Linked DNA regions of Schizosaccharomyces pombe. Changing the gene in region 1 together with any one later gene gives a genetic interaction. Each region holds a gene or a part of one and is shown on either strand. Other genes may lie near its edges.

What was found.
Region 2: of pfl2 (region 1) and mbx2, changing one suppresses a phenotype caused by changing the other (phenotypic suppression), as found in Schizosaccharomyces pombe (one study listed by BioGRID).

What each region holds. Positions count from the first base shown.
Region 1 is NC_003424.3:3,982,077-4,000,113, reverse strand, and holds pfl2 (protein Pfl2), read left to right. Parts: upstream 1-8,701; 5' UTR 8,702-9,764; coding exon 9,765-12,875; 3' UTR 12,876-13,081; downstream 13,082-18,037. Other genes in the region: Tf2-5 (retrotransposable element/transposon Tf2-type), read left to right, coding at 1-3,691; SPOM_SPAPB15E9.06 (uncharacterized protein), read right to left, coding at 5,843-6,112; SPOM_SPAPB15E9.02C (uncharacterized protein), read left to right, coding at 7,670-8,236; SPOM_SPAPB18E9.05C (uncharacterized protein), read left to right, coding at 13,194-13,466; SPOM_SPAPB18E9.04C (uncharacterized protein), read left to right, coding at 15,010-17,412.
Region 2 is NC_003423.3:3,618,180-3,633,549, forward strand, and holds mbx2 (MADS-box transcription factor), read left to right. Parts: upstream 1-8,459; coding exon 8,460-9,578; 3' UTR 9,579-10,479; downstream 10,480-15,370. Other genes in the region: rps1801 (40S ribosomal protein uS13), read right to left, coding at 1,659-2,093, 2,246-2,269; SPOM_SPBP8B7.32 (uncharacterized protein), read left to right, coding at 12,198-12,422. UniProt on the Schizosaccharomyces pombe protein: Acts in transcription regulation. May bind to a MEF2-like typee II promoter sequence.

The DNA.
Region 1 (18,037 bases):
TCTTACATGGCAAGAATTACTCAGACAAACAGGGAAAGTACAAGGATCCAACAAAGGTGATCGTTTAACTAAAACATTTGAAGGTTTTAGAAATCAATTGGACAAAGTTCAATTTATAAGGAAACTCATGTCAAAAGCAAATGTTGATGATTTCCATACTCGCTTGTTTATATTATGGATGCTGCCATATTCCTTAAGGAAATTAAAGGAAAGAAATTACTGGAAATCAGAAATCAGTGAAATTTATGACTTTTTAGAGGACAAAAGAACAGCCTCGTATGGTAAAACTCACAAGCGTTTTCAACCGCAAAATAAAAATCTAGGAAAAGAGTCCCTTTCAAAGAAAAATAACACCACTAATAGCAGAAACCTGAGGAAGACAAATGTTTCGAGAATAGAATACTCATCTAACAAATTCCTAAATCATACTAGGAAACGTTACGAAATGGTATTACAAGCTGAACTTCCAGACTTCAAGTGCTCAATACCCTGTCTAATCGATACGGGCGCTCAAGCAAATATTATAACAGAAGAAACTGTTCGAGCACATAAACTGCCTACCAGACCCTGGTCAAAAAGTGTGATATATGGTGGAGTTTATCCAAATAAGATTAATCGCAAAACAATAAAACTTAACATAAGTCTAAATGGAATATCAATCAAAACAGAATTCTTGGTTGTAAAGAAATTTTCGCATCCAGCTGCTATCTCCTTCACAACATTATATGACAATAACATTGAAATATCTAGCAGTAAACACACGCTCTCTCAAATGAACAAAGTTTCAAATATTGTCAAGGAACCTGAGTTACCAGATATCTATAAAGAATTCAAAGACATTACTGCAGAAACCAATACGGAAAAGCTACCAAAGCCAATAAAAGGGTTAGAATTTGAAGTTGAACTAACTCAAGAAAACTACAGATTACCTATCAGAAATTACCCGCTACCACCGGGAAAAATGCAAGCTATGAATGATGAAATTAATCAAGGATTAAAAAGTGGAATTATACGAGAATCTAAAGCCATTAACGCCTGTCCAGTAATGTTCGTTCCGAAAAAGGAAGGCACCTTGAGAATGGTGGTTGACTACAAACCTTTAAATAAGTATGTCAAACCCAATATATATCCGTTACCACTTATTGAACAATTACTTGCTAAAATACAAGGTTCTACAATTTTTACTAAACTTGACCTCAAAAGTGCCTATCACTTGATACGAGTAAGAAAAGGAGATGAACATAAACTTGCTTTTCGCTGTCCTCGTGGAGTTTTTGAATATCTAGTAATGCCTTATGGCATATCTACAGCTCCAGCACATTTTCAATACTTTATCAATACAATACTTGGTGAAGCCAAAGAATCACATGTAGTATGTTATATGGATGATATTTTAATTCATTCAAAATCGGAATCTGAACATGTAAAACATGTTAAAGACGTTCTACAGAAATTGAAAAATGCGAACTTAATTATCAATCAAGCAAAATGTGAATTTCACCAATCACAAGTAAAATTTATAGGGTATCACATTTCGGAAAAAGGATTTACGCCTTGTCAAGAAAATATAGACAAAGTCTTACAATGGAAGCAACCTAAGAATCGTAAAGAATTACGACAATTTCTAGGTTCTGTCAATTATCTTAGGAAATTCATTCCAAAGACATCACAATTAACACATCCACTCAATAATCTTTTGAAAAAGGATGTACGCTGGAAATGGACACCAACACAAACCCAAGCGATAGAAAACATTAAACAATGTTTAGTTTCTCCTCCGGTGCTACGACACTTTGATTTCAGTAAAAAGATTCTACTGGAAACTGATGCTTCAGATGTCGCTGTAGGAGCCGTATTGTCTCAAAAACATGATGATGATAAATACTATCCTGTTGGATACTATTCAGCAAAGATGTCTAAAGCACAATTAAATTATAGCGTATCGGACAAAGAAATGCTTGCAATCATTAAGTCTCTCAAACATTGGAGACACTATTTAGAATCCACTATCGAACCTTTCAAAATTTTAACAGACCATCGAAACTTAATTGGTCGCATTACTAACGAATCCGAGCCTGAAAACAAACGTTTAGCTCGTTGGCAATTATTTTTACAAGACTTCAACTTTGAAATTAACTACAGACCTGGATCAGCAAATCACATAGCTGATGCCTTATCCAGAATTGTTGACGAAACAGAACCAATTCCAAAAGATTCAGAAGACAATAGTATCAACTTTGTTAATCAAATCTCGATAACCGATGATTTTAAAAACCAAGTGGTTACAGAATATACGAATGATACAAAATTGTTGAATTTACTAAACAATGAAGACAAACGAGTGGAAGAGAATATCCAACTCAAAGATGGCTTACTAATTAACAGTAAAGACCAAATCTTATTACCTAATGATACTCAGCTGACTAGGACAATTATTAAAAAGTATCATGAAGAAGGTAAATTGATTCATCCAGGCATTGAACTTCTTACAAACATTATATTACGTAGATTTACGTGGAAAGGAATAAGAAAACAAATACAAGAATATGTACAGAACTGCCATACATGTCAAATAAACAAATCTAGGAATCATAAACCTTATGGACCTTTACAACCAATTCCCCCATCAGAAAGACCTTGGGAATCTTTATCAATGGATTTTATTACAGCTTTACCAGAATCATCTGGTTATAATGCACTTTTCGTGGTAGTTGACCGATTTTCAAAAATGGCAATCTTAGTACCTTGTACGAAATCCATTACAGCAGAGCAAACAGCTCGAATGTTTGATCAACGAGTTATTGCTTATTTCGGCAATCCAAAAGAAATCATTGCAGATAATGATCATATTTTTACTTCCCAAACGTGGAAAGATTTCGCACATAAATATAATTTCGTTATGAAATTTTCGTTACCATACAGACCACAAACTGATGGACAAACTGAGCGTACAAACCAAACTGTGGAGAAATTACTAAGATGTGTATGTAGCACACATCCAAATACATGGGTAGATCATATATCCCTAGTGCAACAATCTTACAACAATGCGATACATTCAGCAACTCAAATGACACCTTTTGAGATAGTACATCGCTATTCACCAGCTTTATCACCTTTAGAGTTACCTAGCTTTAGTGACAAAACTGACGAAAACTCTCAGGAAACGATCCAAGTATTTCAAACAGTTAAAGAACACTTGAATACAAACAACATAAAGATGAAAAAGTATTTCGATATGAAAATACAAGAAATTGAAGAATTTCAACCTGGAGACCTAGTTATGGTCAAAAGAACGAAAACAGGTTTTCTTCATAAATCCAATAAATTAGCACCTAGTTTTGCAGGACCGTTCTATGTGTTACAGAAGTCGGGTCCAAACAACTATGAATTGGATCTTCCAGATTCAATCAAGCACATGTTTTCATCTACTTTTCATGTTTCTCACCTAGAAAAGTATCGACATAATTCAGAACTCAATTACGCTACCATTGATGAGTCTGATATTGGAACAATTCTTCATATCCTAGAACATAAAAACAGAGAACAAGTACTCTACTTAAATGTCAAGTACATTTCGAATCTAAATCCGAGTACTATTATGTCAGGATGGACTACATTAGCTACAGCGCTACAAGCGGACAAAGCAATTGTCAATGATTATATTAAAAACAATAATCTAAATATCTGAGAACATATGACTTATCCTCAGATTTACATAGAAAATCTTGGGGAGGGCAATGTCAGCAATACTACACTACGCTATAATACACTACGTTGAGTATCACTATATGTCACATGTTCTAATTATATATCGTACCATGTATGATACGATATGGAGATTGATCTTAATGATAATCTATTAAGATCAATATTATCTGAATACTATAAATAGAGCTACTGCTGAACCTCGTTCCTCAGTTCAGTTATGAGCTATATTAGTGATAGGTAACATTATAACCCAGTTAATACAATACCTATACTCAGTTGCTACTTATACAACCTGTGTATCGTAATATAATAGATCACAAGGAAAACTCACCGCAGTTCTACGTATCCTTAAATCAGATACCAAACTGCGTAGCTTACAGGAATATTAAAAGGATCGTATTTGACGGATAGTTGTGAGTACTGGTTTATGTACTTGCTTTAGGGTATGCAATGCTAAATTATCACGTCACAATGTATCGTTAAATGAATAATAATATACGTTAGTGACATGGTAATGTCAGCTGCGCAGTTTGGTATCTGTTTAACGATACATAGAACTGAAGTGAGTTTTACTTGCGACCTACAATATAGCGGTATGCGGTATGTTAACTAACAATGTACATTTATTGGTATATAAAATCTATTAGTATCGGTCACCGATATAGCTCATAACCGAATTGAGGAATGAGGTTCAGTTGTAGCTCTATTATAATATTTGTAGTAGTGTTATCACTAACTGTCCAACATATGACATATAGTGATACTTAACGTAGTGTAGTAATGCTGACAATATTAATGTTATACTACAAAAATCGCAATGCATCGTTAAATCGCAAGCTAGATGAATGTAGTTTCATTTAAGTGTGATTTCTTATAATTCATAAGAGTGTAATTGTATTGAAATTTATTATTCAATTTGGCAAAAAATCAATATTCATTTTAAAAATTTAATATTTCGTTTGAATTTTTTAATATCAATATTAATTTTCTTTTATTTTTTTTTTATTTTTTTTTTTATTTTAAATATATATATATATATATTTTTTTTTTTTATCTATATTTATTTTTATTTTTGCTACCGTTCATTAAAATCATGTTTGTAATGTTTTTTGAATATTTTTGGTAATTATTAATTTATATAAAATATAAACAGGACGGAAAAAGTATAATAAATAAAAATGTAGCGTGAAGCAAACAATAAGAGAATTGCTTTGACTTTTTTTTCTATACGTAAAAAAGAGAGAGAAAGAAACTAAAAAAGTGTATTTTGATTACAATCAATTAATTAATCTATCTATCTTTTCATCAATAAGGATACTTTTAACCTATCCGTTTTCCTTTGTTTTAAGAAAAAAAGCAAAAAAAAAAAAAAAAAAAAAGGAATCCTTGGAATTTCTTTCTTTATCTAATAACCAAGTAATCGCAATTGTAATGGCTATGGCTGTGCAATACAATGAATTCATAATCTACCATTCCTGATGGCTTATCAGAAAACAAAACAAAGAAATCCAGCTTTGTTCGTTTTAAGCTTGATGATAACATTCAACAAAGAAATCCATCATTTTTCTTGAGTTTGCGACATCTACGCAAGCGTCAGCAATTTCTCTCAATTTTGATGAATGTCTCAGTTTTATTCATTTCACTCATTTCATTCATTTTACTCATTTTACTCTGTATGTGTTTTTTAACCAAGCTACCGAAAGAAAAACACCCTTTAACTCTAACTCGCGCTTACATGGGCTGGATGGAAAGCCTCAAATCAACATTAGCAATGATAAGCGATGCATGAAGCCTTTACAGCGCTGATTGGCTGACACTAAAAGCCTTGTCCAATGTTAAAGCAAAGGTCTATGAAAAATTGTGGAGATTATTCGTTACGGCGGCACGACGGCCAGGTGATCCAGGAATTATGACGAGGATGATAGGCTTTTACGCTATTGATTGGTTCGTTAAGGAAAAAGTTGGAAATTAAGATTGCCAGTCTTACGGAAACCGTCGGTACTGGATTGTCGGAGGAATGAGAACGAGAGGGATTGGATGGAGAGGCAAGATGGCAGGAGAATAGGGAGGAGGTCCTTTTAAAAATAGATATGGATGGGAAACGTTTCTTTGTTTAAACTTGTGCATGTTTTTATAGCAACATGGAGGATGTGCCAAAAAAGAAACAAGGGGAGCAGAGAGGACAGAGGGGAGGAATGGCGAAGAGAATACGTTTAGGTTTTTTTTTAGAACGGAACAAGTAAATATATATATTGTAGAGGATAGCCACAAGAAAAAAGAGAGAGAGAGAGAGAGATATGGAATGAAGAGAGGAGATGGAATGGAGAGAAGAGATGGAAAAGAATTCCAATGAGAATTGGAAAAGGAAATTGCAAATGCGAAAGCAAACGTTCAATTTCATTTCAATTTTAATTTTTTAAATCATTACATCTCCTTTTTTCTTTTTTCTTTTCTTTTTTTTTTCTATTCAATTCATCGTTTCAATTTTCTATTTGACTCTTAATTCAATCTTTTGTTTGCCAAGTTCTCTACTTTCGATTCATTTCATTTCGGTGGGGGATTTTTTTTTTTTTCCTTTTTTTTTTTTTTTTTAATTTGTTAATTTGCTATTCACGTTAGCCGTGTTTTACACTAGCCGGAATTCCGAAATCGACCGTCTACGTTATTTTCTTTGCATTGCCATTGTCCTTGCCTAGACTACGCTTGGATTTCTTTTTCTTTTACGCATCCTCGTTGTCCTATACTATTCCATAATTAGATGCACTGTGCTCGGTTACACTATTTTTCGTATTGTATTCTACTATCGTTTCCGTATCGCTAATGAACGAGAAGGAAACTAGCTCGTTCTACGACACAAAGCAATTTCGGTGCTTCGTTCTATTTCGGTGCTGCGTTCTATTTCGGCTCTGTGTTCTACTTCGGTAGTGTATTCTATTTTGTAAATGCTAGGCTATGGTGGAGCTCTTTGTACCGTGAGAATAACAGCTAAAACCCATCGTTTGTGTGTAGTGCACAAACGGAATCGGCAAAGTACCAGGGATGTTGTTTTTCACAATTAGGGTCAGCAATCAAGAGAGAAATGTGATTACAAAGAAAGGGGACAACGAAAATGAAAACGAGATCATGTTTGTGGCAAACAGGCGATTAACACGTCTACAAGCATGATTCTTGTCACTGTTGTGCAAAGGGGGGAAGAGAAAGAGAAAGAGAAGAAAAAAAAAAGATGCAGATATTTGTGATTCAAAAAATAATACTGCGTTAAAAGTTGACTCTGTGTAAAAGTTGACTCTACGTAAAAGCTGACTCATATTCTCTCTTCTTTTATCAAATTGGCGTTCTCTTAACTCATCCTTATCAATTTCTTACCTAAATTTTTTTTCTTACTCTTTTTTTCTCTCCCTCATTGTTTGTGCTCTTCCAATGTTTTTGCCTATACTATAACATACAATCTCTTTACCGGCCTTAACGGAGTCGTGTGAAAAAATTCTCCTTGGTCAACTTCGATAGTGACGGAGCACTTTTGTCCATCGTTAACTTCTCCAGCCCAGGTTGGATGAGTCATGTGGAAAAGAGAAAAAAAAGAAAAAAAAAGATTCCCATACCCCTTCATCGTCGCATCTCACTAAAAAATCCCTCGTAGCAACAAATCGTATGGTGGCATGTATGGAAGAGCAACAAATAGCTCACAGACTTGTTGAGAAAGGAAGAAAGCGGAAAGTCGAGAAAAATGCCAATTGAGAGAGGAGAGAAGTGTCACTACCTATCTATCTATCTTTCAAGTTATCATGAAATGCCATACAATTGTTTTACTACTGGCAAAACATCATCAATGGTCAAACGGACTCAAACAAAAAAAGAAAAGGCATCATACATTTGCATTTTCATATCATTTAGTATGTCATTTGTATCATACATATCATCTTTTCCAATATAGTTGATATTTCTTTCCCTATAGTATATGACAGGAATGTTTTTTTTTGCATCGTTGTTTTCGTCTTTTGAATCGTTGTTTTTTCGTCTTTTTTTCGTTTGTTCTTTCTTCTTTCCTCTCTTGTATTCGTTCATTTTCGCTACTTTGCATGCGTTTGTTTTTCTTTTCTCACATACATTGGTCAGTAGTCAATTCCGCCGTCTTAAACTCCCATACCATCATCATCATACATTTACCATAGAAGCATTTTTTTATTGGTTTTTTTTTTTTTTTTTTTTTTTTTCTCATTGTAGACGGTTTCACATTGCGATCTTTATTCATCCATACGATTCCAATGTCGTACCTTTCTTTTGTTTCTTTTTTTATTTTTCTTTGTTCTCTTTTTTTTCTTTTCTTTTCACTTCACTTCATTTTAATTTTTTTTTTCGCCTCTGTAGACACAAGCATCTCCTTGACATCCCTGATCAAACTACCCTCTCGTCCCTCTTACACCGACACACGAGACTACCAAGGGATGTCAGGCGTAAACACACATGCTTCCATACTTCGGTATGGTGCGACATGAGTTCATACTGCATTGCATGGCGTAGTTGATCCTTATCGCAACGAATGTCTAGATATCTTTAACTTAATATTCCACCAATCATGTATCTTATTAGCATCCATGTCCTTTATTGCATTCTCAAATGGGACGGAACATGGACCAATCAACGGCCATAACACTAGGATCTCGATTGTGCATTTCCCTTCTATCCCTGAGTGTTTGTTTCCTCAAAGCTAGATTGTCGTTAGCGATTGGTGGATGTTGATTTGTAGCTTCATGCGCTTCTCGTTCCAGACTGGCCGCTTTGGTTTGTCTGTTGGATGGATATGGTGTGCGCGCACGTCATGTTGGATGCTGCTTAATGCTATGCTGCGATCATTCGACTGGTGGATTTGGTGTATAAGACCAAGATAACTTGGCGCATGTTACAGTTTTTCAAGCCTTCGGAATTCCAGGGAAGCCAGAATTTGCCGATCCCCGTTGCCATATATCTTTAAGGGTGCGCGCTCTTCGCCGTCCTAGTAGTTTGTCTGTGTGTGAGTGCCTCGTCTTTTTGCCGAGTGTCATTTTTACTTATTTTTTTTTTTTTAATAAGTGCGAACCCGCCCCCAGGTTTTTGCTCTTTCCCTTTCCCTATACCTTTAACAAACGTTTTCGTTTGGTTTTAACGAAATTCATTTGTTTTTGGGAAACTCGCGATTTTCCTTTCCTTTCCTTTCCATTTTTATAACTACTCTACTCTATATTCTATTCATTCATTTTTTTTTGATAGAATTTAGTTGAAATTGCAGATTCGTCCTTTTGCAAACTCATTTTCTTTTTTGCAGTTTGTCTTGTCTTCTCCTTTTTCTTCCTTTCCTCTCCTTTTTTTCCCCGTCTTTTTTTTTTATTTTTCGTTGTTCAGTGTGTCTCTTGGTGAGTTTGCTGAATTACTGTTAATTTGAAAAAAGGTTTGGAATAAAGAATCTCGATTCAAGCAAAACATTCACTGCTGTTTTACGACGATTCCTTTCGTCCGGTATATTTTTTTTTATAAATTTTGTTTTTTTGGGAGATTTATATCTTTTTTGTCCTACTATAATTTCTTTTCTCTTTTTGACAAAGACTTTTTCTATCTAGTCAGTCTTTAATATTTTTTTGTCTTCTTTTCTTAAACCCAGATATCTTCTTTTGAGCATTCTTGATTGAATTTTTATATCCCAATCGATATCTGTCTCTATCATCTTATATTCTTTTTTAAACCATCGATTTTACTTTTCCCGTTGTTAAATCGATCTTTTTCTTAATCGCAAGTACTTTCAAAAAGTCTTGAAAGTTTTTTGCCTATTGAATTCTTATTTTAATACGGAATCATATTTTTTAATTCTTTCATCGGTTAATCCCACCGCTTTCATTCTTTTTTGAAACCCCATATATAAAGCATTTGCTATCGTTTTTTCAACGACGTCTATTTCTTTCTTCTTGAAATTTCGACTTGCTTTTTCTATCTCTCTTGGTATCTAATCATATATAGCTATATCTATCTTGGAACTCTTCAAACTTTAATTATATTTTTTTTTCAATTTTTCACTAATTACAATGAAGTTTTTCACTGCTTCCACTCTCTTTCTTTTGGCTGCTCAGTCCCTTAATTCGGGTGTCTCGGCGTCTTTGAGCGATCCCGCTAATACTCCAACTATTTTGGCGGATGATATAGTCCACGGTTATACCCCTGCCACTTATCTTTCTTCGGTGCCTACTCTCCTTAAGAGAGCTACCACCAGTTACAACTACAACACCAGCAGTGCTTCTAGCTCTTCTTTGACCTCAAGCTCTGCTGCTAGCTCCTCCTTGACTTCTAGTTCTTCTTTGGCTTCAAGCTCTACAAACTCTACTACTTCAGCTTCCCCAACTAGCTCGTCCTTGACTTCTAGCTCTGCTACTAGCTCTTCTTTGGCTTCTAGTTCTACTACTAGCTCCTCTTTGGCTTCTAGTTCTATTACTAGCTCCTCTTTGGCTTCTAGTTCTATTACTAGCTCCTCTTTGGCTTCCAGTTCTACTACTAGCTCCTCTTTGGCTTCTAGCTCTACAAACTCTACTACTTCCGCTACCCCTACTAGCTCTGCTACTAGCTCCAGCCTGTCCTCGACCGCTGCTTCCAACTCTGCTACTAGCTCTAGTTTGGCTTCTAGTTCTTTGAACTCGACTACCTCTGCTACCGCTACTAGCTCCAGCCTGTCCTCGACCGCTGCTTCCAACTCTGCTACTAGCTCCAGTTTGGCTTCTAGTTCTTTGAACTCGACTACCTCTGCTACCGCTACTAGCTCAAGCATAAGTTCAACCGTCTCCAGCTCTACTCCTTTGACTTCGTCGAACAGTACTACTGCGGCCACTAGCGCTTCTGCAACTTCCAGCTCCGCCCAGTACAACACCAGTTCACTTTTGCCTAGTAGCACTCCTAGCTCTACTCCTTTGAGCAGCGCCAACAGCACTACTGCCACTTCTGCTAGTTCCACTCCTTTGACCAGTGTCAACAGTACCACTACCACTTCTGCTAGCTCTACCCCTTTGAGCAGCGTGAGCAGTGCCAACAGCACTACTGCCACCTCTACTAGCTCTACTCCTCTGAGTAGCGTTAACAGCACTACTGCCACCTCTGCTAGCTCTACTCCTTTGACCAGTGTCAACAGTACCACTGCCACTTCTGCTAGTTCTACTCCTTTGACTAGTGTCAATAGCACCTCCGCCACTTCTGCTAGTTCCACTCCTTTGACCAGCGCCAACAGTACCACTAGCACTTCTGTTAGTTCCACTGCCCCCAGCTACAACACCAGCTCAGTTTTGCCTACTAGCTCAGTTAGCTCCACTCCTTTGAGCAGTGCCAATAGCACTACTGCCACCTCTGCTAGCTCTACTCCTCTGAGCAGCGTTAACAGCACTACTGCCACCTCTGCTAGCTCTACTCCTCTGAGCAGCGTTAACAGCACTACTGCCACCTCTGCTAGCTCTACTCCTTTGACCAGTGTCAACAGTACCACTGCCACTTCTGCTAGTTCTACTCCTTTGACTAGTGTCAATAGCACCTCCGCCACTTCTGCTAGTTCCACTCCTTTGACCAGCGCCAACAGTACCACTAGCACTTCTGTTAGTTCCACTGCCCCCAGCTACAACACCAGCTCAGTTTTGCCTACTAGCTCAGTTAGCTCCACTCCTTTGAGCAGTGCCAATAGCACTACTGCCACCTCTGCTAGCTCTACTCCTTTGACCAGTGTCAACAGTACCACTGCCACTTCTGCTAGTTCCACTCCCTTCGGTAACTCTACCATCACCTCTTCTGCTTCTGGCTCAACTGGTGAATTTACCAACACGAATAGTGGAAATGGGGATGTTAGTGGAAGTGTCACCACTCCTACCTCTACTCCATTGAGCAACTCCACCGTTGCTCCCACTAGCACCTTCACTTCATCAGGTTTCAACACTACTTCCGGCTTGCCAACTAGCAGTGCTTCCACTCCATTGAGCAACTCCACCGTTGCTCCTACTAGCACCTTCACTTCCTCTGGTTTCAACACTACTTCCGGCTTGCCTACTAGCAGTGCTTCCACTCCTTCAAGTAACTCTAGTATTGTACCCACTAGCACCTTCACTTCATCAGGTTTCAACACTACTTCCGGCTTGCCAACTAGCAGTGCTTCCACTCCTTTGAGCAACTCCACCGTTGCTCCTACTAGCACCTTCACTTCCTCTGGTTTCAATACTACATCCGGCTTACCCACTAGCAGTGTTTCCACTCCTTTGAGCAATTCTAGCGCTTATCCTTCAAGTGGATCTTCTACCTTTAGCAGATTGAGCTCTACTTTGACTAGCAGCATCATCCCTACTGAAACCTTTGGTTCTACTTCTGGTTCTGCAACCGGTACTCGTCCCACTGGAAGTTCCTCTCAGGGCAGTGTCGTTCCTACCACTAGTACTGGAAGCTCCGTTACTTCCACCGGTACTGGAACCACGACTGGTGTTACCGAAGTTACTGAAACTTCGACATTTGAAACTACTGAGATTATAACTTCTACCATTGAACCCACCACTGCAAGTGGAACTGGCGGCGGTAACCCAACAGCTGCTCCTACCAACGAACCAACCGTTACTACCGGAACTGAAACGACCGAGGGTACTGCTACTTACACTGAGCCTACCACATTCACCAGTACCTTCTCCTTCACTACTACCATAATCGGCGGTACTACCACCATCATCCCTGTTAACCCAGGTAACCCAAGTAGCAGTGTTAGCGCTCCTCCTACTACTAGCTTTACCCCAGGTCCAGGTGGCTCAGGATATCCTAGTTATAGCAACACTACTCAAGGTATGAACACCACTTCTATCTGGAACAGTAGCAACTCCACCATTGTATCGAATGTTACCGCTACCATTACTGGCAACGTAACAATTACCACCGGTGACCTTACTACTATCGATCCCACCACCTTCACATCTACGTACTTGAGCTCTGGTTTCCAAACTGTCAGCAACACTACCGCCACATCTGGTTCTGATGACGATGTAAAGACTGCTTCTACTTCAAGCAGCACTTCTTACACTTCTAGCTCCTCATCCAGCTCTAGTACGACGTCGGCCGCCTCCTCAAAAGCCAGCGTATCAATGGGATTGAATGGATTGATGATTGCCGCGGTAATTTTGTTGGTTGCTTAAGGTGATTTGGAATGTAAAGAATAAATACTTTTTGTGTCCATTCTGAATTTTATTTGAAAACGTATCATGGGCAGCTTCGGTCGCTTTTGATATCAAAATTGATGCAGCCTCTTTGCATCTTGCATTTTAGGTTCATGTCTTATTTGTTTCCATTATTTTTAGTTACGCCTTCATGTTGGTGATTGTTGACTTTGAATTTTGTTTTCTGGTTGGGTGTTTTCTGCTACGGGGGTTTTATGTCATGTATCTATAGAATCGGTGTTTGGCCTCAGCCGTTTTATCTCTTCTTACTTTTTCGGGTGGAATGTGGACAGGAGGATGAATGAAGTAATCAGTCAACCCCCTTGCAATATTTTTAGACCATTGATCCTGAGCATGCATTTATCCCCGGTAAGTATTTTAAGCCCTGTGTTATTGATATATTTAGTTATTCATTCCCAAAACGAATTGGTAAGTATGTCCTGGCTTTTCCGTTCTACAATTTGTTTTGGGGTTTCTCTTTTCCTTTCTTTTTTTCTAGTAAGGATTTTGTGGGGTATTGCCTACAGCTACAACAGTAATTCAATGTCCATTTATTTCTCCTATATATGAAAAATTTAGTAATGATGTGTGATTCCTCTAATGGTAGCCATATATCCGATTTTAAGCTAAGTATCTTGACCTTTTTGTCTGTATGAAATTTGACTTTAAAACCTCTACTTGATCTCTGTCCACTGAAATTGGGAAGCTGTGTTCAATAACCGTGCAGTATGATATGCTTAGCAAATCAACTCCCACAACGTGGGCTCTATATTTAGAGATGGGTTTACAAATTGCAAGGCGGAAAATAATTTAGACCGGTTACCACCAAAATTTCAACTTGATTTTACGCCATTGAATTAAAATTAGAAGCACTATGACTTAACCTGTCATATACGTCGATGATAAACGTAGCTGCAATTCAGATTTTGCCTGTGAAACACTTTTCGTTGTAATGGAATCCTGTGAAATGTACGGGAAAGGGTGGAGATTGTCGTCACGAACGCTGCGGATGCTTCATCGATGTCGTGGATTGTTCGTTTGAAACATTTGATTCATTAGAACTTCTGGATACCCGGAGGGACACTGCACACGGTTAATCAAAAATTACATAGTTGAGGTTTGAAATGTCCAAGGGGTTTATGAAATGAATTCGCCTTAGAAAAACCTTTAAAACGGATGGCGCAGGCACTTTTGTGGTGTGTTTTCCTCCATCCCATTGTGATAAATTTCGGCTTAGTTAGCTTACCTTTGGCTTATTGCACTTGCTTTTCAACACTTGGTTAGATTTTCTGTGAACTTGTACGATAGTCAAGATTCATACACTCGTGGTAACACAATCTTGAAGTGTACTCCATTAATTCAATTGCTGTTGTACTCTTTTTCATTACAGAAAGGTTGTCTACTTGTGTGCTTTTAATAGGTGCAACTTTGCTGCTTGATCAAATTCGTTTGAAACGAGAGTAGAAAGCTACTAAGCTACTAATTATCAGTCCTGTTGGGTGTGGACTTTTTTTTGGAATATCTTTAATCGATTGTTTACTTATATTTGCAATCCATCCAATCTTTTATATTCAATAGACCCATAGCACTTCGTCTGCTTTGGAAAACATTGGTTTTTGGACAAACTCCGTGAATGTTAATTTCGATAATTGTTGGCAGATAATCCTAATTCTGTGACAACTTTTAATACAGACATATTTTTCTGTGAAAAGTTTTGCTTTCTTTACTCGTCACAATTTTTTAATCTTTAGCACTTGGTTCCATTCATTATTCTTTTTCCTCGTGTGTTCGCCTTCATTTTTGAATTTTTTTGGAAAATTTTCGGTCTTTAACATATACAGCTTTCTCATTATTAGTAGAACGCTGGTTTATTTTTCGGATTGCTTCTTTCTTTATATCCGTAATTACTTTTGATCGTTTCTTTAATATCTTTTGTATTCATTCTTTCCACACCGTTTACAATCTTTAAAAGAGTTATTGAATCGATTTAATTTCAACCTGTGAAGCATTCTTCCCTTTTTTTTATATCGTAAAGGAATTGTCTGTTCTCTTCCAGCTTTAATTCTTGACATCGAATATACCATTTTAAACCTTTTTGAAGTTTTTACCTCAAATGAATCGCTTCTTTATTTCGACTCTTTTATTGCTTGCACAGCATCTTGCTCCAGCAGCAGCATCCTGCGGACTCGCAAACGAAGCTTCATTAAGTGCTAATGAGGTACAAGATATCTACCATGACTTTGTAGCAACATCCATTAATTACGCCGATCTTTTAAAAAGAAACGAAGATCTTAATGCTTCTTTGTCCACGGGATCTCCCGTCGAAATTACATCTACTAGCTGCACAACTGATACTAGTGCCTCTACTCCCATAATTACAGAAAGTACTTCAAGTACTAGCAGTGCTTCTACGACTGGCAGTAGTAGTAGCCCTCTACCCTCAACTAGCACTAGTTGCACTACTAGTACTAGTATCCCACCTACAGGAGGTAGCTCGAGCTTGAGTACTCCTATCACTCCCACTGTTCCTCCTACTAGTACTTCCAGTACTAGCATTCCAATTCCACCTACTAGTACTTCTAGTACCGACACTAACAGTAACCCTCTACCGACAACTAGCACTAGTTGCACTACTAGTACTAGTATCCCACCTACAGGAGGTAGCTCGAGCTTGAGTACTCCTATCACTCCCACTGTTCCTCCTACTAGTACTTCCAGTACTAGCATTCCAATTCCACCTACTAGTACTTCTAGTACCGACACTAACAGTAGCCCTCTACCGACAACTAGCACTAGTTGCACTACTAGTACTAGTATCCCTACAGGAGGTAGCTCGAGCTTGAGTACTCCTATCACTCCCACTGTTCCTCCTACTAGTACTTCCAGTACTAGCATTCCAATTCCACCTACTAGTACTTCTAGTACCGACACTAACAGTAGCCCTCTACCGACAACTAGCACTAGCTGCACTACCAGTACTAGTATCCCACCTACTGGAAATAGCACTACTCCCGTTACTCCTACTGTTCCCCCAACCAGTACTTCAAGCACTAGCACTCCACCTCCTCCTGCTAGTACTTCTAGTACCGGCACCAGCAGCAGCCCTCTACCCTCAACTAGCACTAGCTGCACTACCAGTACTAGCATCCCACCTACTGGAAATAGCACTACTCCCGTTACTCCTACTGTTCCCCCAACCAGTACTTCAAGCACTAGCACTCCACCTCCTCCTGCTAGTACTTCTAGTACCGGCACCAGCAGTAGCCCTCTTCTCTCAACTAGCACTAGCTGCACTACCAGTACTAGCATCCCACCTACTGGAAATAGCACTACTCCGGTTACTCCTACTGTTCCTCCAACCAGCAGTAGCACTCCTCTCACAACTACGAATTGTACTACCAGTACTAGTGTCCCTTATACCAGTACTCCTGTCACTAGCACCCCTCTCGCAACTACGAATTGTACTACCAGTACTAGTGTCCCTTATACCAGTACTCCTGTCACTAGCACCCCTCTCACAACTACGAATTGTACTACCAGTACTAGTATCCCTTATACCAGTACTCCTGTCACTAGCACCCCTCTCACAACTACGAATTGTACTACCAGTACTAGTGTCCCTTATACCAGTACTCCTGTTACCAGTTCGAACTATACTATTAGCTCCAGTACTCCTGTCACTAGCACTCCTGTCACAACTACGAATTGTACTACCAGTACTAGTGTCCTTTATACCAGTACTCCTGTCACTAGCACCCCTCTCGCAACTACGAATTGTACTACCAGTACTAGTGTCCCTTATACCAGTACTCCTGTTACCAGTTCGAACTATACTATTAGCTCCAGTACTCCTGTCACTAGCACTCCTGTCACAACTACGAATTGTACTACCAGTACTAGTGTCCTTTATACCAGTACTCCTATCACCAGTCCGAACTCTACATCTAGTTCTTCCACTCAAGTTAGTTGGAACAGCACTACACCCATCACAGGAACTTCCACTTCTAAAGTTACTAGCAGTACCTCGATTCCTTTGACGTCGACCAACCGTACCTCTACTACTTTTACTTCTTCAACCAGTATTAGTACATCTAGTAGTTCTACTGCCACTTCGTCTACCAGTTTTGCTAGCGAAAGTTCTTCATTCTATAGTAACGTTACTACTTCGAGTTCTACGGTTAGTACTCCGCCCCCAACTACTTCTTTCCCTAGTACGTTTACCACCTCGTTTATTACTAGCTCTTCGCTTAGTAGCATACCTAATAACTCTACCGAAGTTAAGACAGCTTCCACTTCTAGTGGCACTGAAATTAAAACGGCTTCCACTTCTAGCGGTAGCAGCTCGAGCTCGAGCTATACTCCTGCTTCGTCTACTTCTACTACTACTAGCAGTGTCAGTTCAAGGCAATCGTCAAGCAGCTCTTCATTCACTCCTTCTTCTGCCATTTCTACCGCAAAAAGCTCTTTCGTATTGAGTACGTTGTCAATTCTTATTGCGCTTTATATGGTCGCTTAGGTGATTGGTATGCGATGAAAATTTAACTTGTGGTTTGATGAAATATATCTGATGGTTTGTTGTTTGTATGATCGTGGTGACCGCTGAATAATATAAACTTCTCTATGTTCATTCGAATTATCGATTAGCTAAACTGAGCTCAAGGCTTTTTCATGTGCTTTTTTTGTTCTCGTTCACAGCGGTTATCGGTTATTTATTTTTTACGAGCATAACTGCATCTCAAGAATCTTTTATATTTCTGCCCGCTATGTTAGTAAAGCAGAGTATCTAAGAAACCTGACACTGTTATGGTCGTCTATTTTTTTGAATTCGTGATTCTTTAACATCTCGTAATTTCATTTCGAAATATAATGAATCTTTAGCTTATAAGAAAAGTCATGTGATTAATGTTTTCAAGTAAGTTGTAGCTAAGAATAACTAATATTGTATTGTGTAAGTTGTTAGATTATACAGTAATATTGCACTATTATGAATACGACAATGATGGAGACGTTAATTTCAAGTTGTTAAAGAAGAAGTTGGTGTAAGTTTTCCATGTGCTTGAATTATCGAGCAATTCCTAATTTAACCGTTTTCCACACCACTGTTCTTCCCATGCTAACCTAAAACTAATAAACAGTTGCCA
Region 2 (15,370 bases), on another chromosome or scaffold:
GTATTTTATTAAAATATTTTTTTCTTAATTCTAATACTTTAATACTAGACACAACTCTGTGAGCAATTACTTGAACGTTTAAAGTCATCAGCACCTTCAACTTTTTCTAAATTGATCCATCTTACTTCATTTCTTTATCCCAATTCTGTCGACAGGTATGCACTTTCCTCTTACGATATTGAAGCGTTTAAAAAAGTTCTTTCTTTGATTTCTCAAGGAGCCGAGAAAATATGTTTGCCAGATGGTTCTTGTATAAAGCTACCTGTAGACCAGAATAGAATTATTCTAATCGAAGGTTACTATCTTCTTCTTCCCGAATTGCTGCCCTACTATACGTCTAAAATTTTTGTATATGAAGATGCAGATACTCGTTTGGAACGCTGCGTTTTACAGAGGGTCAAAGCAGAAAAAGGAGACTTAACCAAAGTTTTGAACGATGTAAGGGTTTTTCTTCTAGGTTTATTCTAATTTCTTTTAGTTTGTAACTTTGTCTAAACCTGCATACGACTCTTCGATTCATCCAGTATGTTAAACTCTTATTTGCTGTTGTATACTAATTATTGGAAGACTCGAGAGAACGCTGATATTATACTCCCTCAAAAAGAAAACATTGACACAGCCCTACTTTTTGTAAGCCAACATCTTCAAGATATCCTCGCGGAAATGAACAAAACAAGTTCATCAAATACGGTGAAATATGATACTCAGCATGAAACATATATGAAGTTGGCGCATGAAATGGTAAGCTCAATTTCCTACATATTAACAACTAAAAGTCCTAAATTTAGGCCCGTACTTCGTTATCCAACCGAGAAGTCCCGGTAGTTGCGTCTTTGTATATAAAGGAGAAGTAATAGGCCGTGGTTTTAATGAAACTAACTGCAGCCTCTCGGTAAGCCTTATTTTAATATGCCTTTGCTGACGATGATAAAGGGGATTCGACATGCTGAACTTATCGCTATAGAAAAAATTTTAGAACACTACCCAGCATCTGTTTTCAAAGAAACCACTTTATACGTGACTGTTGAACCGTGTCTAATGTGTGCTGCTGCATTAAAACAGCTTCACATAAAAGCCGTGTATTTTGGATGCGGCAACGATAGGTTTGGCGGATGTGGAAGCGTATTTTCCATTAACAAGGAGTATGTGAATTTATCAGTTCGTTTTTGCTTACGATTTATGACAGCCAATCTATTGATCCGAGCTATCCAGTTTATCCAGGGTTATTTTACTCTGAAGCTGTGATGTTAATGCGCGAATTTTACGTTCAAGAAAATGTAAAAGCACCAGTGCCACAAAGTAAAAAACAACGAGTATTGAAGCGCGAAGTTAAAAGTTTGGATTTATCTCGTTTCAAATAATTATATTAGAAGTCTAATTTTCTGTGGTTTCAGGTAGGGTTATAATAAAGGTTCTTAGGTCGATGCGTCAGTATCAATCATGTTGGTTGAATATGTTGAATAATATTTACTGTTTTTTATATATTTCTATATCAGAATAAATTGTAGTGTAATATTTGATGAGAAATCACAAATCCACCTAATTTTTTTCAATATACAAAATAAAGCAAGATGTTTTAAAGAATCAGAAAACTATAATTTGCAAGAATAATGGAAATTTATTATCCAAGTAATATTAGGCTAATCATTTTACTTATTTTACTTCTTCTTAGAGACACCAACGGTCTTACCGCGACGTCCAGTAGTCTTAGTGTGTTGACCACGAACACGAAGGTCGAGAGCGTGACGAAGACCACGGTGGGTTTGGATCTTCTTAAGGCGCTCAAGATCCTCACGAAGCTTACTGTCAACATTGTTGGCAAGTAATTGGAATGACTTGCCATCGTTGATATCCTTTTGACGGTTAAGGAACCAAGAAGGAATCTTGAACTGGGAAGGGTTTTGAATAATGGTAACAATACGCTCCAACTCTTCAGTGGTAAGCTCACCAGCACGCTTAGACATGTCAATATCGGCCTTCTTGCAAACAATGTTGGCATAACGGCGACCAACACCCTTGATTTGGGTCATGGCAAACATGACCTTTACCTTGCCATCAACGTTAGTGTTGAGGAGACGGAGAATGTGTTGAAACTATAATGTTAATATCACATCAGAGGAAAACGAATTATTTTAATAATTTCACACTTGAGTATCTTTGCCCAAAAAAGCTGCTATAAAAATGCAATTTAAACGCAATAATAATAGGGAAAGGTGTTGAAACAGAAATTATAATATTTACTTACATTATCAGGAACAACGAGAGACATTTTCCGGAAGCTGCTGGTAAGTACAAAAGTATATCAACTAGAACAAGCCCAAACACTGAAGCACTCTCAAAAAGCAGTCACCGTGGTATATATATTACAATAAAAGAGTATCATAATATAATTATAAATAATTGATTATTACGAGCAATAGCGAAGTAAACAAGTTAATGTCTGGAAGTAATACTTCTTTTCGAACAATAACTCTGCTTTGTTCGGAAAGACCATGTCACGCCTTTTACGAACTTTGGTTTGGTATTCTACAAAGTTTATTTTTAAATAAACTCTTAGTTTGATACTCCAACATGCTTTTTCTGCTTTACTTTCATTTGGAATCTATTCTATACATTTGAGAAAGTATAAGGGAAAAATTGAATCTATGGCTGGTTTATTTCAACTTCAATATAGTGGTATTTGGCGCGAATTAAACATTCAGGAGTGACGAGTTCAAGTGTTATGAAATCCTTTGTTTTTAGGTACTTGATCCAGTGCCTCCTGTTTTAATAGTGTTTGAACACCACGATGCTTTAGTAAGATATATGCATAAGAGCACTATAACACTATTATCGACATCTAATTTTTCTACTTAAGTTTATTGCGGAGGCCAAAGTATATCGGTGAAAAAACTCACATCAAATAAATTATATTACGTTGTGAGAGTTTCTTCATTATAAATTAGCCTCCAGTTTCTTGTACTTTCATTCAGAAGCAACATAACGCAGCAAATCGGCTAATACTAACTGAGTCCTTTTGATTATATTAATGTGCTGCCAACGTTTTCGATTCCATTTTCGTGCGCTTGAAGAGTCTTTAAAGTATGAAAAGAAATCCTTGTACAAGTAACTTACTGATCTGGAACGTGGCTGAATTTAAGTCGTCTGACATGCTTGATTAATGAACCGACAGTATGATTTGTTGTACCGCTTTGCATATCTCAATCAGGTGAGCTCACAAGTCAGGAAAATAAAAGAAGGATCGTACGTTGCAACTTTTCGGATGAATACTCCTTTAAGACCAAAGTTGAAAGAAATGGGGGCTAGGCGATTTCGGGCAGCATTCATCAGAATGGTTTGTGAAGAAACAATATAAATAAATTTCTTTGTTCCCTGTTTCGCGTATGCTTTTCCCAGCTGCTTTCGTTACTTTGCAGAACTTGGTATTACACTTGGTTAGCAATGCCTGATAGTAACCCGCGGTTAGGCTAAATAATGGATTTGAGTTTCTGTTTCCAGACCGTACACTTTTAATGTCCGACTTGATTTTTTTTTTTTTTTTGAATCTGAAGTGAAACAACTTCTCCAGAAAGTTGTTCGATTCCCGATAGTTTCGCAACTACAGCTATAGGATTTTATGGAACTAGCCAATATATCTCTCTAATTATAAGGATTCGCAAAATATATCTACTGGGTCCTAAAAAAAGAATAATTGGGGTGGATTTTCGCTTTTGAAAGGATAATATTGACAAAACTAGCTTTTCATCAACCCGAAAAAATACTATTTGCCGACTAAATTATACTGTCAAGGAAACTGGATAACTGCCTTTCAAACATGATTCAAATAGTTCTATTTACTGGGAAAACCGGAGCTGTAGAATTCTATTAAGGGAAATCGAGGTTTGTTAATGTTGCAAGGAGCACATGGGCGTCATGTTGCTGTTGCAATTTCAAACTGTAATATGTACTCCCATATTAACAGGGAAAAAATACATTTAAGGGAACCATTAAAACCCCCTTTTTTTTGTAGACACTGCAGTAGGAGTTGTTTTACGCTCAAAACCTGTGTTTGTATTCTATAACTATTACTGAGGATACGAAGACTTAACAAGGAAATTGTTTTTACTTTGGAGAGCGTATACTCAACAAACCACTGGTTACATGGCTAATATTTAGTAAAAAAAAATAACATTTAATGAAGATCCCTTATAAAGAGCCTAAGTTATTTCGTAATGGAGATGGAAATTCATTTGCACCATGCTTAGAATTTTGCGAAGTATCGATTTGCCGTTCTACGACGGCGGTAAAAGGTGGTATCGAGGAATGGCATATTTAGTTTAAAAGTAATTACGATTCCGTTTAATGTCTCTTACAGTAATTTCATACAATTGTGTTAAACCATTCTTCTCCACCAAATTAAGCATCGATTTATTAACTATTGGATTGATATGCCATGTGCTTTTTGACTGCCTATAGCATTCGAAACGAGAATTGCATAAAGAAGAATAGCATCGAATGAAAAATAGCTAATTAAATGCTATTAAACTCAAATTGAAAAGCAAATAAAAATTGCCATGCATTGACTGTATTGTTGCTAAAAAAAAAAAAACAACTAATCTAAGGGAAAGCTATACCACCGAGCTGTTTAAACTGGTGCGCTGCAGCAAGTTTTCTATTTTAGTATACGGCGAGAAATTGATAGTTGAATGTTCTGGACAACCGACGTTCACAGGACATAAAACAAAAATGTAGGGCTGCTAGTCGTTTCCCAATCTTATTCCATCAAAACAACAAAATATGTATTCCACAGGTTGCATTGATTTTTTTCGGTAAATCCTTTACTAAAATGGAATGACTTTCGGTAAAATAAAATAGGGTACCGGGAAATGATATGTTATCTTAACATTTTGAATGAGACCGACTAACAGGAATATTTTTTAATTTTGTCAGAATCGAGAAATTTAGGCAGAAATAAAAGCACGATATTTGACTTTTTCATGATTGATTCAAAATACAAGACTTTTTCTCCGAGATAAGAGATAAAGCATTTGGGTCATTAAGATGAAGTGGTAAAAGCCATAAGGAAAATGGTTTTTGGTTTTAATTATAGCATATTTAGACAAACGGCCTTCGGGTATTCTAGCACCACTGCCTCTTTTTTTGCTAACAGGAAAAATTAGCTTAAATCTAAAAACCTTAAGCTGTTTGCCCACATTTATCCTGAAATCGTGCTGAAACAAATGGTATTTATTTGGATTAAGTTCAACACTTTACAGAAGCGCAATCCTAAAAATGGTGGAATAGATAGACTGTCTTGGATGGGTTAACGAGGTCAGTTCGTCGAAGGGTTCGCTAAAGCGTAGATTAAGAAGTTAATTCGGTAGTATGCTATCGCTACGGTACAGAACTGAATTTAAGGTCAGCCAGAGTTGCATGTATCCCGTGCTAGCCGAAAAAAAGTAATCCGTACTTAACATTCGAAAATTTCGTTAGTCATTTTGTCTTGAAGCTGGGAGTATTCTGCACATTCCATTTAATATGGGGGGTTTTGGTTTGAAGCTCGGTTCTACCGATGTTTAGACGGGCCGATAATGCGAAGAAAAAATAATGATGTTTTCCGTTAAAACTGTTTTCAGATATCAACAAAAAAAATGTTTTCTGACAGAAAACAAAGAATCTGTTAAGAGATAAAGCCATACTTTTGGTAGACCATGTAAGACGGGGTATGTAATACGGGGTAGTACGAATAGATGTAAGACAAAGCTGTGCATAATTCGATTTGTCGCTTACACGGGTATATATGGACAAACATCATATAGTGCACAAAATAAACAAATGTGTGTTTTCTTATACATGGAGCCACGGAAAGTTCCGAGACAGATGCCCTTTTACGGGCTTCAAGTACCGATACGGCAAAAGTCCATAATCAAAGTCCTTTATGTCCCACTAGCTTGATTAAGCTAATTCGGCATACCCCAGGTAAGGAGGAAGAAAGGAAGGAAGGACAAGGTAAGCAGTCGCTGCACACGTCAATTTCGTGAGTCAGCACTACTGAGGCTGTCCATTAAAACAAAGGTAAAGGGACGGCGGACAGAGATGGATTGTGGCGATGATGTTTTTTGATTTCCAAAATTCTCACTGTTTCCATGAGTCATGGCATGCATTCACATCATCGTTGACTCTCCTCTCTACTCACTGACTAACAGTTTAAAACATGTTGCCCCAATCGTAACACTTAACGACCGATTAAAAATGATGAGAATTTGTCAAGTTCATCGTTCAACCCTAGTTTCCCCCAATTCCTTCCCGTACTCCTAAGCAATCATGTAGAGAGGTAGATGAGAAACATCGAATGGTTTGCCTTTTCGTAACAAGTGCTGAAAATGATAGGCGGATGCAGTGTTAGCACGAGTGTAGACGACTTTGAATGAGTGGTATAAGCAATAACGAGGCTCAAGTCAATATTCAGCCTCCTCGCGAATGGTTGCGCACGTAAACTATATCGCAACGAAAGTATGTCAGTCGCCAGATAGGACTACTCCTAAAGTCTAATCCAAACTACTTCGTCTAGCTATACTAAAGTATAAGCAGGTCGTAACGGTCGATTCATTGCGAAATCAAATTACTCATAAGCTACCTCTCTGGTTATTTTTTCCCAATGTACTGTATTCGTATTGTACCCCATTCTTACCGGATACATTTATTAATAGAGCAAGTTACGAAAAGCAAAATCAGAGCGAGTCTATTTTCGGACTTGTGTGTCTAAGTATAGTCAAGGAGCGGAGACAACACTCGTAATATTGTTCCTTCACGCCCTCCTCCCCCTTTCCCCTTTGAATTGAGTATCGTACACTGCATCAGTAATAGGGTCAGCGTTTCCAATTGACTGACTGGTTGAAAAGTGAAGGATTACATACGAAAATCCCTAAACGCGATCATCAGCGCATTCCGAATTTTCGTATCTTTCTATCTCTTCGATTCTTTCTTTAGCCTTGCCAAGTATTTTGGCTGGCCCATACGCTTTGCCTGACTATCGCGTCTAAAAATAAAATCCCCTTTCCAAAACCTTGGATTAGGTGCATGGGATTACTATGATTCTTTCCTAATAATTGCTAATCCCGCTTTCTTTCTATTTTTTTCTACTATTACTGCAAAGTCAGGTTTGCAATCCAAGTGGACTTTAACCATACTCAAAAGGTACCTTCTAACCTTCTTTCCATTATGTCCATCTTCCTCCTCCAATTAAAGGATTTTCCTACTTAGGGCTCATTTAATCGAGGCTATCCCACCTTTTTCATGAAAAAGTATTCGGCCTTGTGACCTCCCCTTTTCGAAAAGAGAGATGAAGAAATAGTTTAAATTACCCGAGTAGCCGAAACGGTGAATTTTCAGAATGTCTACATGAGGAACATAATGTACACTTATACGCGTTTGTATATTGAGAATTCATCGGTAATGTTGGCAAAGTGCTACGCATCTTCGGATAAACGTGAATGGAAGACATTTAGCCCCTAATTTTGGTGTACTTATGCAGGAAAAACCTATCCCTTAACAATTGCCTATGGAGGGAAAGAGAAAATTTTTTTCGTTCACTATTGGAATTTATTTTCTTTTGCATAAATATGTACAATGGTATGTTACGATGCTGGCGTCGATACTTGTCTAAGTTAGAACGCAGTGTGTATTACGAAGGTTGCATTAAATAGACGTTGCGGTTTCCTAGTTATTGCTATCCCTGTATATATATACACATATATATGTACAAAAACACGTATTTACACGCACTTATAAACGCACACAGACAACAAACAAATACCTAATTTTATAATTTCAAGTTGTTGAGACAGATTAATTTATTTATAAAACTTGGCGAGAAGATATTTTTAAACCTGACATTGAAAAGGAGGGGACAATTGTTAAAAATATAGCTTCAAAGGCAAAAATTTCTCCAAAGTGTTGATTCTTCCTCTTTCTATTTTAAAAATAGCACACAAAAACATCTAGTCATTTAATTTGTCTTTGTTCCTCTCATTTGTAAACACTTGAAAACCACCCGTTCCGGCTATCTTGTTTACTAAAAAAATTTTTTCTATTAATATCTTTAGTTTCGTCGCCCGCTTCAACCCAGAGTACAAAAACAAAAATAGCTTCCTCGTTTTTAAATCTCAACTTAGATTCGTCTAATCGACTATCAATTACGAGCACAATTGGAGAACTTTGCGCTCTTGTTTTCTCAAGCGAAAAATCTACCCTCAAGAGATCCGGTGCAGAGAAGGGAAGACAGGGATAAAAACTGTTACATAAATTCCAAGAATAAACCCCATCTGCTGTTTTCTATTTGTTCCTTATATACTTGCCCGTTTGCTCGCTCGTTTGCTCGTTTGTTTTCGTCATTCTCCCTATACCTGAATTTTGGTTAACCTCGTCGACTCTTTTTCTCTTTTCTCGTCAAACCTTACTAAATATATACAACGTCTAATATGGGGCGCAAAAAAATCTCCATTGCACCCATAACCGACGATCGTTCAAGGAGCGTAACTTTTGTCAAACGAAAACAAGGTCTCTACAAAAAGGCGTATGAACTCGCTGTGCTAGCCGATTGTGAAGTCGCCGTCACAGTCATTGATCGGAAAGGACGTTTGCACGTCTTTTGTTCCTCTGACTATCAACGTACTCTTCAACAACTCAACACTCTCAGCATATATGAGTTAAAAAACCGTTCTCATTTTTCGTCATCGCCTGTCGAAGAGTCAAGTACCGTGTCTCCAGAAACGACAACTGGTTCATTTACTCCTCTTAATAATAAGCATTTGAAGTCACAGGACCAACCTTTATCAGACTCCCAACTCGACACTGGTGATTCTCCTGCAACATCGGAAACGACTGTTCAGGACTATAATCCTCAAGTTCAGTCTTACTGTCGTCCCGAGCCTTTATCGTCTAATCACGTTCGTTCTTGTCCTCCATTTCCTCCCACACAACATCATCATCCCCATACTCGTCCTCCTCATCATCCACCTCATCCTCATTTTCATAACAATAACTATCCACCGCCCTATTGTTTCCAATCTCCTGTGTCTCCGGGTGCTACAGTTCCATTGCAACATCATTCTCCGTACCCTAGTGATAACGGCTTTCCTGGTCATCGTAGGCAAACGCACTTCGCTCCTTACTACTATCCACAAAGAGCTACGTCTCCTTCTTTGAAACAAGTTCCAACTTATCTGGGTACTCATGTACTGCAACAAGACCAGTCCACCTATGATCAGAAGGTCCTTATGCCTCCAGCAAGTTATCTTTCTTCACCTAATCAATACACCTTAAAAAATGTCTCTCCTGGTAACCCGGCTTGCCCTCCTTTTCTCTATGAACATCCAAATCCACAGCTAACGCCTGAGATGTTTGATGTTAAACAAGGCTCACCTATTCCGCCTACTGCGTATTCGGGTAGCAGTTGTGAGACTTCTCAACATACCATTGCGAATACTCCATTTTTGGCATATGATCGCTCTCCTTCCTTAACGAATCAAGAAGCTGAATCATCCTTCCAAGACGTAGCTTCCATTAGTCCACATTCACTCAGTGATGTCAAATACTAAAGAATATCATAGAAGTCAATCTCCCTTTCAAATGTCTTCATCATGTGTCCTCCCTGGATCTAATGAATCGTATACAAGTAATAATTTTAGTTGGCATACATCTCGATCAAATCCTTACAATCGTTTTCTTACTCAAACTGCATATGATTTGGAGCAATCCAAGCACCAATAGTTTACTGCCAAGCTGTGCGATGCCCATTTTTTTAATTTGACTTACATCGCATTCCAGTAAACAATTGTTAATACTAGGTCTATCAATTTATCGTTATAGTTGAATTACGCGAACGAAATTACTGACCTAGCAATAATTGAAGTTTGGAATGTTGTTCAATAAAATGGACACCTACCGATAGCTTATGGATTCAATGTGAACTACAAACCTAGCATGATTTCAGACGCTAGCAAATACAAATACCTGAACATTTCAGATGTGCCAATGGTTTAACTTTGTTAACTTCCATCTTCGGTATTTTGGATCCTCCCTGTTATGAATTCAAGATGGTGATTTTCGGTTTAAATATTTATTTGCAAACTGCGGGCAGTTTATCACTTATTTATTCAGGCACGCATTTTGTCTATTCAAGTGGACTAAGTTTTTTCGTGATTTTGTTTTAACCACCTCCTTCCACTTCATTAATTAATTCACCAACATGTAACATTCGCGGACCAACCTTTATGTTCGCATTCAAATTTTTTTTTGGAGCCGCTAATTTCTAATTAGACGTTTCTCATTCGTTTTCAAGGTTATACATGGTTTATTTTCGTGTGTTTGACTCGATTTTTTGCTAGATTTTTCACGGTTTCTCCTTTTTAATCAAGAACGTTTGACGATTCACAGAACCTTTTTCAAACCCCTAATTACAGTTTTCAACAATAACATGAGAAATTCGAACTTTCCGTGTAGTTTTACAGAGTAATGTTTAAGTGTTTGTTAGTATGTCGGTGTGTAAGTGTAGCGTAGCGATAACCGTCCAGCTTCAAAGGTAAGATGCAGGGGAGTAATGCAGCAGCTAATTTTATATGGCGGAATGAGCATGGTAGCACTCTTCAAAGAAGGTGGAATAGGAATTTGGCTTCATGCGAAATTATGTTAACAGAAACCTGAGTTTCTGTAACATATTATTATATACGTGGCTTAGGACATCCAAACAAATAAATGAAATTCTTTAGTATAAGAAGATGAAGAAGATATAAAAGATTACCAATGTTATGCAAACGATGGAACATGAATCAACCGCATAAAACTCAGTCGCTGTATCAAAAATGACCATCGTGGGATGCTGACATAGGCAATCAAGTTTCTCACTTCAAATAAATTAGAGACTGATTTGGCAAATATTTGAGAATTGATCCTCTATTTGACAAATCATTTTAACTTATTTTATGACAGACAAGTCTGTTTGTATTTTGGGAATAAAACCTCGCATTATCCAATTAAAACGTCTGTTGCGACCACCGGCTTAACTTAGAACAATTATAAAGACTTCCAGAACAAACAAAAGTAATAAATTGTCGTAAAGCGACAATTATGCAAACTTTTTACCCTGTGGGATAATTACCAAAAAGATGATCACAAGTAACGTAAGGCTATGTCTTTCAGGTACAAAACAACTGACGAAAGGTGATAAAAGTATTAAGTAGAGGCATCTGGATGCTGGGAAAACAAATTGGAAATTTCGTAGGGCAGTTTAACATTATTTAATGGGAACGAAAATAGAAAATAAAATATTGCAAAAAGAATGGCGTGGGTCTTACTAAAAGACGCAAATTAGGGATATAAGGCAATTAAACTGCAAATTTAATGCGAATAAAAACAATAGACAACGGCTTAGCAAGTGAATTTACAATACTCGGATTTAGATTTTGCGCGAAAAAGTAAATGCATTGGTCAACAGGAATGCAACCAATGCAAAAAGAATTGTCGCAACCTTGTTAAAAAAACAGAAATGTTTGTTAGACAGTTACAAAGATAGCGATAATCGAGACCAAAGTGTTCCTAAAAATTCCGATCGGAAAGTCAGTAAATCTCGCATAAGGTGGTGCAACTTTGCTGCATACAAGAAACTAGCAGCCCCTGGCCATTTCAGCTTTTTCAATTTGCTTAGAGCACAACACTAAGCAAAGAATCTCTTTCTTTTATAATAGCACAACTCCCAAATGATTATCACTTTTTCTAAAACAAATTAATTGGATACTTCTAAAGTATCCAATTGTAATAAGAAGTCTCAGAATAATCCAACAAATCATTTCAAATATCAGGACGCAGAAGCGAGCATGTAGAGAATATTATTCCATCTCAATACTCGTTTAAAAGGCAAGCGATTCAAAAGAATGGTAAGGGTAGTGGATGTTTGCATGCTGATTTGGAAGGGCTGCGGATATCCATGAGAATAAGCATCGTCTAATCTTTATAGGTATAGCAGGAAAAAGATGAACTTCTTATGAACGGTTAGCACAGAGAACGAGGGAGCGAATTTTTGATTTAAGTGATACAATGCAAGTAGTCTATAAATTTGGTCCTTTTTTAGAACTCCGATTGTCTCAAAGAGTGTAAATATACACGCGAAAACTGAAAAGGTCCGACTAAATTTTCGCAGCCTTCTCGGCTTCTTTTAACACATGGAAAGCAATTTTTTGCTTTTTATTGTTCAACAAAACCTTTTTGATCATTATATCATTTCAATTGTCTCAAATAGAATTATAGGAATCAGAGCAAGCACTAGAAAAGTCGAGTACCAATTTTTTCTAGCTTTCAAGAGCTTTCCCTCCATCATGGGTCGAACAAGTCCAAAATTTCATATAATCAATAAACACTTTTTGAGCCTTTTTAAGCGGGAAAAATGACAGTCTTAACGATCACAAAAACAAGCAAAAATTGCAAAAGTGTTTGGGATACATTTTTATAGATTTCATGGTTTCCTCGCTAATATGGTGAAAAAAAATTTTATGCTTTTCCCTACGTCAATCCAATAAAGACAATTAAACACCAGAATAGCACTGGTGTATTTTTTCTGGAATGCTGTATTTGAGACATACGAAGAGGCTTGATTAATGTAATGGTCAACGAACAAGTAAGTGTCTTTTCTCTCCTCGTGAGTGTAGTGACCGTTGAGGAATCTAATGGTGATTCAAACTTTCCAAACGAAGAAAGTTTTTAACTTATACGCTACTACACACAAGCATTACTCTCATGCCGTTCCCCCCAAACTTATAGGTGTCTCACGACTTTGAACAAAGCAGGCAAGTCACTTGCTTATAGGAATACGCTCGTATAAATAAAAGAATCTCGTTTTCCGACCCCAATTATCCCCTTCCCAATTGTGGTGTCGAGGCCTTTTTATGCACATGATCTTAATAAAGATTTAGGGGATGTGGGGTGTTATTTCGCAACTTGGTCAATGTTTTTCTAGTGTACCTCTGTTAGCGAGGTTATGTAGCCCAGCGTTTGTTATCTAGTAGCACATTTGACGTTGAGGTCGTTGTAATGATGAAACAGGACACGAACATGTACCACCGACATGCATAGCTCTTTATTTGGCTGCGACATGGGTTACCTAGGTGGGGAGTGGTACTGTTGGAACTTTATATGAATTGCAAACAGAAATTTTTCGTTGCGTTGATTCAGTTTGAGACATTACAAATTATGTGATTCGTTGGAAATGTGTAGATCCGAATTATGTATTAATGTGGCTTGCTTTTTTTCCTTATTGGTTTGATCCTGAGAAAGTGCTGAGATGGAATGACTGAACCTTGCTAGTAAAAACTAGTTTTCCGGGATCGGCAAACATGTTTTGCAATTGAAAACAAAATCTTTAGCTGTGTTAGTAATTTGCAATTAGCAACGCGCAAATCCTGCGATGAGGATAGTATGTGAGTTGCTAATTGCAACATCTGAAGCATTCTGATGTGTCCCATTTTTCCAAACCCGGATACAGGCGGCATTGAGAAACACCACAAACAAAAAATTTCCAGCAGTCGCAATGTAAACAATGACAGGGTTAGCCACATATCTGGCTATAATGGTTAACTAGCTTGTTTGATGATGAAACTAGTTGAAAATTAAAAACTGCGAAAAAAAATTCCTTACCGGGTTAACTCAATTACTCCCATACACCTTTTCCCACCAACTTAACAAAAAACCCATATCTCTCAATATGTCCGCTCCGTGAGAAGAAGTAATACTTTTTTATGCATTCGGCTAAATGCAACCCTGCCTTTTGAACATCCCAATTGGCGAGTTCTCTTCAATGTTAACCAACATATCATGGCGTCCACGACAGCACATTACGGCAAAATTCTACCACTGATTTCACACTTTCACCTACTGAATTTTTCATACCAAGTAAGCCTACAAACTAGACTATTTATCTTATAGGAAATGTATTTTCCCTGATACTCTTATCAATCAACGCCTACTGGTTTGTTTGAGCGTTTTTTCGTTCAATAATTCAACACTTTCACTACTAACAATTCACCTATGTTACAGCTTTGACTCCTTACTTTCCCTGTCTTTCGGCTGTTCCACTTTGACCATCGTAAGCCTATTTTGTCATTACTGAAGATGTCACTACACGTTACATTAACTAATGCAAACGATGTTCCGTGCTGCTTTTTTTATTTCTAGCTCTACTGTGTTGGTATTAAGTCTTAGTCTGTTTATTTCATAGTGGTCTCAACAATGAATCTGGTGTATTCGATTTATAAATTTGTGGTTCGACATTGAGTACGGATGACCCTGTATGAAATAACAGTCTCCTGAATCGCTTATGATGATCCTTATCGTGTTGTTCGACCTTTCCAATTCCGGGGTTGTTACCTTATGTCCACCTATTAGTATGATTTGCGCCAGTTCATATGATGGAATTTGCATTGGAGACAGGTTGAACGATTTTTCAGGTTATTTTGCGGACTGCTTAATAAATGGACTTTTTAAGACATGCACTCATAAAATCCTTCTAAATTCTGATTCCGTAGGTATTTGAATGATGGAATGAATGGCTTCCATGATAGCGTTGAACTTTACATGTGGTGAGTTTGATGGGCAAGAGAAATCATTTTCTACGTGTTCGTTACCTATGTGGAAATCATCAGCAAAGATTTTTTAGACCTTAGGTTATAATACCTCGGTTATTTTAGCAATTTGCACCCGATGTTTAGACCCGAAAAGGCCATCAATCAAAGGACAGTTTTCCTGCAAAAAATGACAACCATAATCCATCAGACATGTTGATTCTCCTGGAATCTTCTAAAAATAACTAATATAACATTTAATGCTAGGATTCTATATCATGTTGGCGAGGTATGGCGTCTGAAAAGAGCTGTGATATATTTACTCATTCTTTTTGAACAATATTTGTCGACGGGACTAACATTAATCCAGGCCTTTGCTGGATTTCTCCACTTTCAAATTTTCTCTTGCCTATTGTGCATTCTTCTACGTTTGAAATTTTCACTTACTCATTTGAACCTTGGTGATGAAATGATGCAACCTTTCACTACTTAGTCAGATTACCCTGGCAAACTAAAGGTATACCTGTTCTGTGTTTGGGATTTATGAGAATATTTCTTTATGTGATAGATCTACGGCGATTCGCATTTCGTTCGTTGACCTCCCCATCCACTGAATCAATTGTCTCGACCTTTGTCGCAAAAAAATTTGTAACGAAATGATGCGTTTTCACGTTGAAAGCTCGTACACACTTTTCTCTACTGTGTCAAATTAGCTGCTACCATTTGTTTGATTCATAAAATTTGCTAAATTCATTATTTTTATGTTGCATAATTTATTGCCG